Rattus norvegicus: one gene and its partner. The protein of the gene in region 1 purifies or fractionates together with the protein of each later gene. This does not show direct contact. Links are inferred from orthologs where the notes say so. Each region holds a gene or a part of one and is shown on either strand. Other genes may lie near its edges.

The links.
Region 2: the proteins of Hdac6 (region 1) and Rps6 purify together in Homo sapiens (affinity purification with mass spectrometry; 3 studies listed by BioGRID, with this or other methods). This does not show direct contact. The link is inferred for Rattus norvegicus from reciprocal best matches to the Homo sapiens genes HDAC6 and RPS6.

The regions. Positions count from the first base shown.
Region 1 is NC_086039.1:17,236,341-17,240,355, forward strand, and holds part of Hdac6 (histone deacetylase 6), read left to right. Parts: coding exon 1-76; intron 77-165; coding exon 166-233; intron 234-426; coding exon 427-595; intron 596-682; coding exon 683-811; intron 812-973; coding exon 974-1,142; intron 1,143-1,356; coding exon 1,357-1,490; intron 1,491-2,060; coding exon 2,061-2,129; intron 2,130-2,244; coding exon 2,245-2,437; intron 2,438-4,015.
Region 2 is NC_086023.1:106,417,407-106,422,126, forward strand, and holds Rps6 (small ribosomal subunit protein eS6), read right to left. Parts: upstream 3,135-4,720; 5' UTR 3,120-3,134; coding exon 3,114-3,119; exon of another isoform or gene 2,602-3,113; coding exon 2,470-2,601; exon of another isoform or gene 2,127-2,469; coding exon 1,916-2,126; exon of another isoform or gene 1,788-1,915; coding exon 1,641-1,787; exon of another isoform or gene 564-1,640; coding exon 310-563; 3' UTR 274-309; downstream 1-273. UniProt on the Homo sapiens protein: Component of the 40S small ribosomal subunit. Plays an important role in controlling cell growth and proliferation through the selective translation of particular classes of mRNA.

The DNA.
Region 1 (4,015 bases):
GCGTCAGTGGCTCACTCCACACCCTTCTTGGAGATCCTTGCCCCATGTTGGAGTCCCCTGTTGCACCTTGTGCAAGGTGAGCCTCGGGGGAGCAGGGGAAAGGGAAGCCCTTTCTGCCTGCTGGGAGGGGTAGTTTAGTCATATTTCTGCTTCCTTCATCCCCAGCGCCCAGACTTCTATCTCCTGCACTCTAGAAGCCCTTGAACCCTTCTGGGAAGTCCTTGAGAGATCAGGTAAGTGGTGGATGGCCGTGATCACCATTAGAATGAGCTATTGGAGGGTATTGTCTTTCAGATCTCCTCTTGTTGCCTTGTTGGAAAGGGCTGTGTGAATTTCAGGGCTTTTGTCCTGGCCACTTTTTGTCTCAGAGTGTGGTGCCGGGATCCAGGTTCAGGAAGTAGGGTGATCTGAGTCCCCTCTTTATAGTTGAGCCCCAGGATGAAGATGAAGTGGAAGGAGACATGCTAGAGGATGAAGAGGAGGAAGGCCACTGGGAGGCCACTGCTCTACCAATGGATACATGGCCACTGCTCCAGAACCGCACTGGGCTGGTCTATGACGAAAGAATGATGAGTCACTGCAACCTGTGGGACAAGTATGTGCTCAGAAGGCTGGGTTAAGTGGTGCTTGACTCGCTCTCCTCAGTCCCTAAACCCTTGGTTCTGCTTTCTCCCACTACTAGTCATCATCCTGAGACACCTCAGCGCATCCTACGCATCATGTGTCACCTGGAGGAGGTGGGCCTTGCAGCACGCTGTCTCATCCTACCTGCTCGGCCTGCCCTGGATTCTGAACTCCTTACGTGCCACAGGTCAGACCCCATGCTAGCAGCGGGCCAGCTGTAGGACTCGAGGGAAGTGCTAGGAGTAGAGCCTAGGACTCTCCAAGATGGGAGACCCTGTTACCTAGGTAACAGGGTCCCCACCGTTCTTCTGTGGGGACGAGCCAGTAACTCTTGTTCCTCTATCTTCAGTGCGGAGTATGTGGAACGTCTTCGGGCCACAGAAAAGATGAAAACTCGGGATCTGCACCGTGAAGGTGCCAACTTTGAGTCCATCTACATCTGCCCCAGCACCTTTGCCTGCGCACAGCTTGCCACAGGCGCTGCCTGCCGCCTGGTGGAAGCCGTGCTTTCAGGAGAGGTGCGTCCATCTGTCTTCTCTGCCTGCCGGTGCAGTTTAGTTGAGGAAATGAGGTCCTGAGACAATAGAAAGAGGGACCACCTGCTGCCACTTAGGAGAGCACAGGCAGTAGGAGAGTCTGCTGAGAGGGTGAATGGCCTAGTGACTGGTAGTCAGGAGAAAGAGAAGAAGAGAGTGAGGGCCAGAGATACAGTCTCCCTGCTCCTCTCTACAGGTTTTGAATGGCATTGCAATAGTGCGCCCTCCAGGACACCATGCGGAGCCAGATGCTGCTTGTGGTTTCTGCTTTTTCAATTCTGTAGCTGTAGCTGCTCGCCATGCCCAAGTCATTGCTGGACGTGCCCTGAGGTAAGGCCCGCCCCCCAGACACCCTAAAACCTGATCTTTACAGTGACCTGGCTACTCCTTAGTCTTCCTTGGTAGACCTATGGTCACCCCTGGGAACTTAGACAGAAGCAAGCAAGGGTCCACTCAGCAGCGCTTGACTACAAAAGAGCCAGGATGGGTGTGTTAAGGCATCAATCATGGCATCTAGGTGCTTAATAAACTGGGATCCAGGCTATCACACCAGCATTCCTGTTCCCTAACAGGTTATCCCAACAGAACCCAGGCCTGGGCTCCTAGTACTTACTCCAAAAGGCCTAGGATTTGCCATGTGACCCTTAGCCAACCAGGCCTGGGACCCTATTCCCTATTCAGTCCCTAGAAAAATCTAGGGCCTAACCTCAATTCTTGTTCAGCCCCATAGGTTCAGGAAACCAAGGTTGGACCTTCATTCTTACAATAATAGCAATGCTTTCTCATTATCTCCATGGTCCTGTTACCCAGCAACAAATGCTTCTGAGGACCCTAGCCAGCAGTGGTCCACTCCTAGGCCTAAGTGTCCCAAGCTGCTAAAAGAGCTCTCTCCCTCCCCAGGATCCTAATCGTGGATTGGGATGTTCACCATGGGAATGGAACTCAGCACATATTTGAGGAAGACCCCAGGTGAGTGATGGAGCTGTGGGCAAGAGGATGGTACCAGAGGGTGAGGCATCCTGCGACCATGCTCATAGCCCTAACCTGCTGTGGCCCCTTTCTCCTCCCACCCTCTCCCTGGCAGTGTATTATACGTGTCCCTGCACCGGTATGACCGTGGTACTTTCTTCCCCATGGGGGATGAGGGTGCCAGTAGCCAAGTAGGGCGAGCTGCAGGTACAGGCTTCACTGTCAATGTGCCCTGGAATGGGCCCCGCATGGGGGATGCTGATTACCTGGCTACGTGGCATCGGCTGGTACTTCCCATCGCCTATGAGGTAAGGCTCGGCTCATTATATGACAAGGCTGTAAGTGGCAGCACACATCTGCCTCCTTGACATTTGTGTTTGACTACCAGGTGACTAATCATATGATGGCTGTTGAGACAGGGGACAGGGGTGATGGCCTTATGTATATGTCTGCCCATGCACATGCTTGTAAATGGCCTTTCTCTGACATTTTATATGTGACCAACTGTCTTGGCTATGTGTATATATGCATGTGTGTGCCTTCTGAATCTGTCTGCTATCCTGAGTGCATGGCTGTAAGAGTATCCCTAAAAGATGCCCTTGTGGAACCGTGTCAAAGACATACACGTGTACAATGTTACATAGTTGCTGTCATCTCCTTTCTGTGTGTGATATTCTCTGTCATTGAATGCATCTGTCTTGTGATAGCCTGAGAAAGATTCTCTGAATGTGGGAAGTAGGTGTCATCTTCATCTGTCTCCGTCTAACCAGGTCTGCATGTCTGTATATGGGTCTCTCTGGCTGCTTTGACTCAGGGGTGACCTGGTGTGACCTGAGGACAAGGCAATGGCATGTGTGTGACTGATACTGCAGTGAGGACACAACTCTGTCCACCCTTTCTGTGTCAGTGTAACTGCTTATAAGTGATTGGGCATGCCCTCCTGTGGGTGTGAACAGCGTGTCTGTAACCATTGGCACTGTGGTCATAGTAAGTGTATCATTGCCCTGTGCAGGGGTGGCTGTGTATTATTGTCCCCGTGAGAAACCAAGTGCACATATGTGTAAGTGGTGGGATTTGCAGCCCTGTCAGTATGGAACTGTGTGGTTGGGAGTGGAGGTATACGACACTTTTATTAGTCTATAGTCTGTGTGTATAAAAGCCTGTATCATGTGCATGTGTGTCCCATATTTACTCTTGTATGTGAGAGAGGTTATGTCTCTGTCTCTGTTTCTCTTGGCACTATCTCCTGCCTTCTGAGTCTCCATGTCTCTTTCTCTCTGTGAGCCATATCTATCTCATGATTCTGTATCATGCCCTCTTCTGTCAATTTATAGTGTCTCCCAAGAGATTTTAACATTTATTTATGTTATATGTATGCATGTTTTGCCTGCATATATATTTGTATCACATGTGTGCTTCATGCCTATGGAAGCCAGAAAAGCCAGAAAAGGGGTTGGGGATTTAGCTCAGTGGTAGAGCGCTTGCCTAGCAAGTGCAAGGCCCTGGGTTCGGTCCCTAGCTCCGGGAAAAAAAAAAAGAAAAGCCAGAAAAGGGCATCTGATCCCCTGGAGACTGGAGTAAGACAGTTGTCAACTACCATGTGGGTGCTGGGAGTTGAACTCAGGACCTCTGGAAGACCAGCCAGTGCTCTTAACCACCGAGCCATCTCTCCAGCCTCTCCCAGGGTCTTGAGTTTCTGGCAGGTATACTCTTGTCTCTTCCCAGGCTGGCGATGTCTGTTTCTCCTTGTGACCTTGTCTTCTGCAGCTGCTTTTCAGATCTCTGGTCTCGAACCCTCTGGGTTTTGTCTTGCATTCCGATGTGTCAATGTGTCATGTGCCTTTGTTCTCATCACTTATTGCTTCCCCAAGCCTTCAGGCCATCTT
Region 2 (4,720 bases), on another chromosome or scaffold:
CTTTAGTAAAGGCCTTTAAAAGCTGTGTTTCTTTATTAACCTTAACGTTATCGATTTAAGGCCTCTTCTACGCCATCCTACTTTTTAACGGTCTCCAAATGTACTCATTTACTTTGGGGTAGAGGCTAGATGCACATAATTTGAAAAGAATCCCTTGCCCCATATTCTAGGGATATTTGTATATCCTATATATTTGTATTCCTTTTTCTATGACTCATTTCTTTTCCTTCATTTATGTAGTTACATTATTAATAAAAGCCAGTAAAAGAGATTCAAGGTCTCATTATTTATTTGTTACTCTTTAAAGACTTATTTTTGACTGGACTCAGATTTAGAAGTAGAAGCTCTCAGCGAAGACAGCCTACGTCTCTTGGCAATCTGTTCCTGGCGCTTCTCTTTGGCTTCCTTCATTCTCTTGGCCAAAAGTTTAGCATATTCTGCAGCCTCCTCCTTGTTTTTCTTAGTGCGTTGCTTCTTCAGAGCAATACGTCGGCGTTTGTGTTGCAGGACACGGGGAGTAACAAGACGCTGAATCTTGGGCGCTTTGGTCCTGGGCTTCTTACCTAAAAATCCAGATGAGTAATCACTTAACATCCACCATGCTGGATGGCGATGCCCAGTGTATAACACACGCCTAGCACACCCAAGCCCAACTCAGTCCCCACCATCTACCCAAGGCCAGTGCTGTCCCCCAAACATAAGTATTACTCTGGCCCCATGGTCTGCATTGTTATAACCCCACCGTATTTTCAACTTCTCATTTATGTTTTAATCCTATTTTCAGTCCGTGCCTACTATTAGAAATTAACGGTATGTTATAAATTATTCATTTTAGCCTTTTGGATTTACACTCCTTACCCCACATTACAGGCCTCTCTAGAAACAGAACCCTGCTATCATCTCAGCTCAGACCCTTGTAAAATAAGCTGGATAGCCAAGTTCTGCTACAGTTCAGCCACTCTGAACTGCTCATGAGGGGATGATGGACCATTTTTAAACCTTTTGTCAACTAAGTTACACATTCTCTCTAATAGCACACTCTTAATACAAGTCAACAGTCCTGAGTTATTTGTATTAATATACATGCTATGCTTCCTACTGAAGCATTAACATTATGAGGGCTGGAGAGGTGGCTCAGCGGTTAAGAGCAGACTGTTCTTCCTGCTCTTCCAGAGGACCACAGTTCAATTCCTAGCAACTACATGGTGGATCACAACCATCTATAATGGAATCCAATGCCCTTTTCTGGTGTTAGAAGGCGCAACAGTGTACTCATATACATAAAAGCTTTAAAAAGTATGTATTTGTTCATACATTTCCCTTTAAAATGGGTGTTTCTCCTGATTTTCACAATCTATGTCCCAGAGATGAAAAATATGTGGAGCCATTCATTAGTAAATTAAAGTGGTTCTTCTGTAATCCAAAGCACCAACTTAGAGCCTGGTCCCTCCAAAATGTTGTCTCCTGCAAGTTGTCCTTTAACCCCCCCAACATACACACAAAGTGCTTTAAAAGTTTTTCATGTTAAAATGAGAATACTTTTGTAAAAAATCCTTGTCGCTCCTAATGCCGAAGCCATGAATTTAGCTGTGTGGCAAGCACAGCTGCAGCAATAGCACAAAGGCCCAAATCCCTGTTACCTTCTTTGTTTAAGGGCTTTCTGACAACATACTGGCGGACATCATCTTCTTTGGAGAGATTAAAAAGCTTTCGGATTCTACTAGCTCTTTTAGGTCCCAACCGACGAGGCACAGTGGTATCTGTCAGTCCTGGAATATCCTTCTCTCCTTGAAGAAACAATCGGAATTAAGACATCAAATCTGTCCCACTTTGGTCAATGCCCCACTACCTAGGAGGCAGAACCTTGTGTCCAGGACAACCAATTTCAACTAATAAACTCCAACAAAAGCCTTACCTTTTTTTACAATAACCAAGTTGAGAACACTCAGGTTGGCATCCACAATGCATCCTCGGACAGACTTGCGCTTCCTCTCTCCAGTTCTCCTAGGTCTATAACAAGAATGCCCCTTACTCAAAAGCAGGCGCACTCTGCCATGGGTCAAAACGCCTTGCTTCATGGGAAAACCTTGTTTGTCATTCCCACCGCTGATCCGGACCACATAACCCTGCATCGAACATAAAACGGTACATTTACCAGTTCTGTTCCAAAGTGTGGTTCTTAACTTCTTGTGTGCAACCCCATTAGGAAGAACAACTGAGTTCAACTTCAGCCACTCACTTTTTTGTCTCCGTTTCCAACTAAGGTCAACAAGCAATCTCTCCATTTCAACTTCTACTCCTAACTACCCAGGTCTTACTACAACACGCAAGACTTAAGGCCTTGAATTATAACAAGCAAGAGAGACTCCTCTTGGCACGTTTCCCCAAATTTGATTCTAGCAATGAAACTTAACCAAACCCAACAGCACTTGCTGTGACGAGTTGGGGTAATGATGCCAAAAACTTTACCTTCCACTCTTCACCAAGAGCATCAGCAGCTACTTCTGTGGCCATGCGCTTCTCATAGAACGTACGAAGCTTGCGTTCGTCATCCACTTCTATGAGTTTCTGACAGCCAGTGGCAGGGAAGGAGATATTCAGCTAGGATTTTAAAGGGGGCAAAAGAAGACGACTTTAGGCACCTACACAACTTCAACAATTCACGTGCGCAGAACGTTTTGAGCAGCTCCCACACACAGCAGAAAACCCACGACTCGGACTCGCAGGCCCTGCAAAGTGCCACACGTCAATGGAACATTTTGCCAAAGCTCTGTAGAATGCTATGAGGACGTCAGAGCATTCACCCTCGCGATCTCGGATAGCAGAGTGTCCAGGAGGGGTCAAATGCCGCGGGACACCCGCTGCAAGTGGGGCTTCAGGCCCGCATGTGCCCGGTCGGGTACCGGGCGCCGCCATTGCTCTACGTCCGCTGTCGCGGCGTTGCAATCGCCCGCCATCCGCTCTCCCAAAGGGTCCCAAGGCCCTAAAAGCAAGCTTCCTCCTGCCTCAGACCCTTCCCCGCTTAGTCCGGGTTTTGTGAAAGCCTGGGGCTGAGGCAGTCCCGCGTTCTGGGACTCGAACTGCTTCACTCAGTCCCAGTCAGGGACGCCTACCTTCATCTTGACACAGCCGACCGCCTAGGAGGCGTCACGAAAAAGAGGCCCGACTTCCGCTTAGCCCAGGTCACATAGCACTCTAAGTTCTCGCGAGAATAGCCCGAGCTGGAGCCGGCGGAAGTGAGTTGAGGTGGGTGGTACTTCCGGGGGCGGTACTAGCCGGAATAATGTGAGGCTGGTTTGTAGTGAGGTGTTGGTTGGTATTCTGGATGTTCCCGGTGACAGGGCAACTTGTTTATCACGAATGTTAGCCGCTTCTTAGCTAATTTTTCCCGTTTCCGACCAGACTGGTCCACTGAGGAGCCGAATCCCCGTTTCCGACCATGGTTTTTAGTAGTACCTAAATGGAAAAGCTCGATCAGAATTGTCGCCCGGGCTGGCCTGTCCCTCATCTCTGCGGAAGATTTCCAGTTCAGGATCTTGTCCTGGTCCCAGCGGTTGACGGGAGAAATCTTGAAAGCCAGGCTTTGTTCTGCATCGATCAGAGTGACTCCTATAGTCGCCGGACCGCAGAAGACAAGCAGTCCAGCCGATCCATCACGTCTACCTGGCACAGACAACTATCAGATGCCTCAGTCTTGAGCCTTTCGGCTTTCTGTTTTCTTCTGCCAAAACTTTCTGCTTTGTAGGTGGGGTGAGGGTGACAACTCAGATCGGAGATTGAACCTAGTCTCCCGAGTGTCACTGTCATCTTCAGCTCTTTTTCAAAACAACACCATTTCTGTGCTTCTCTTGTTTACTGCAGTTACATGCTGTTCTGTCCGAACTCAATTTTTGAGACTAAGTGTCTTTGTATAACTCTGGCTGTTCTGAAATTCCCTATGCACACCATACTGGTCTGCTTACTACTGTCACCCATTTCTGACAATGAAATATTGATTAAGCCCATCATGCGATGGAATCAAATGGGAGTTGCCTTTTTATAACTGGCTGGTTTCATTAAATGTAGTCTTTAAGGTTTATATTTTATTGTATGATGGAATTTTCTTTTAAAGGCAGTGTGTGTGTGTGTGTGTGTGTGTGTTCACATTTTTGTGTACTGATTCTTTTGATGAACATTCAAGTTGCGTACACAACATCCTTGAGTATGAATGCCTCAAGCCCTTTAGACATTAGAAGGTGTCTGATCCCTTTGAACTGGAGTTACAAATGGTTGTCAGCTGCCATGAAGGTTCTGGGAATTGAATACTGGTCCTCCGTTAGAGTGGCTACTAGTCTTAACCACTGAGATGTCTCTCTAGACCCTGTTACCTATTATTTTTAAATTTTGGATTGTTAGACCTGCCATTAGTGACTGCCTCTAACCCCTGCGCTATGGAAACAGAAAGACAATTTGCTACAAGTTCTTGGCAGTTAGGTCTATATAGTAAATTCCAGGGTAGGCAGAAATACATACAGTCTGAAGCAAACAAGCAAACAAATGAGATTGGGCTTGGAGAAGCTTGCATGAGATATTGTATATTCTAGAGGCAGGCTTTCACTCTGCAGCCCAGGCTGATGTCAAGCTCCATGGTGGTAGGGGATGACTTCTGATCCCCATGCTGCTACTTCTCATAGGCCTGTGTCACCACTAATCTGCTTATAATTATTTTAGTTCTTTTTTT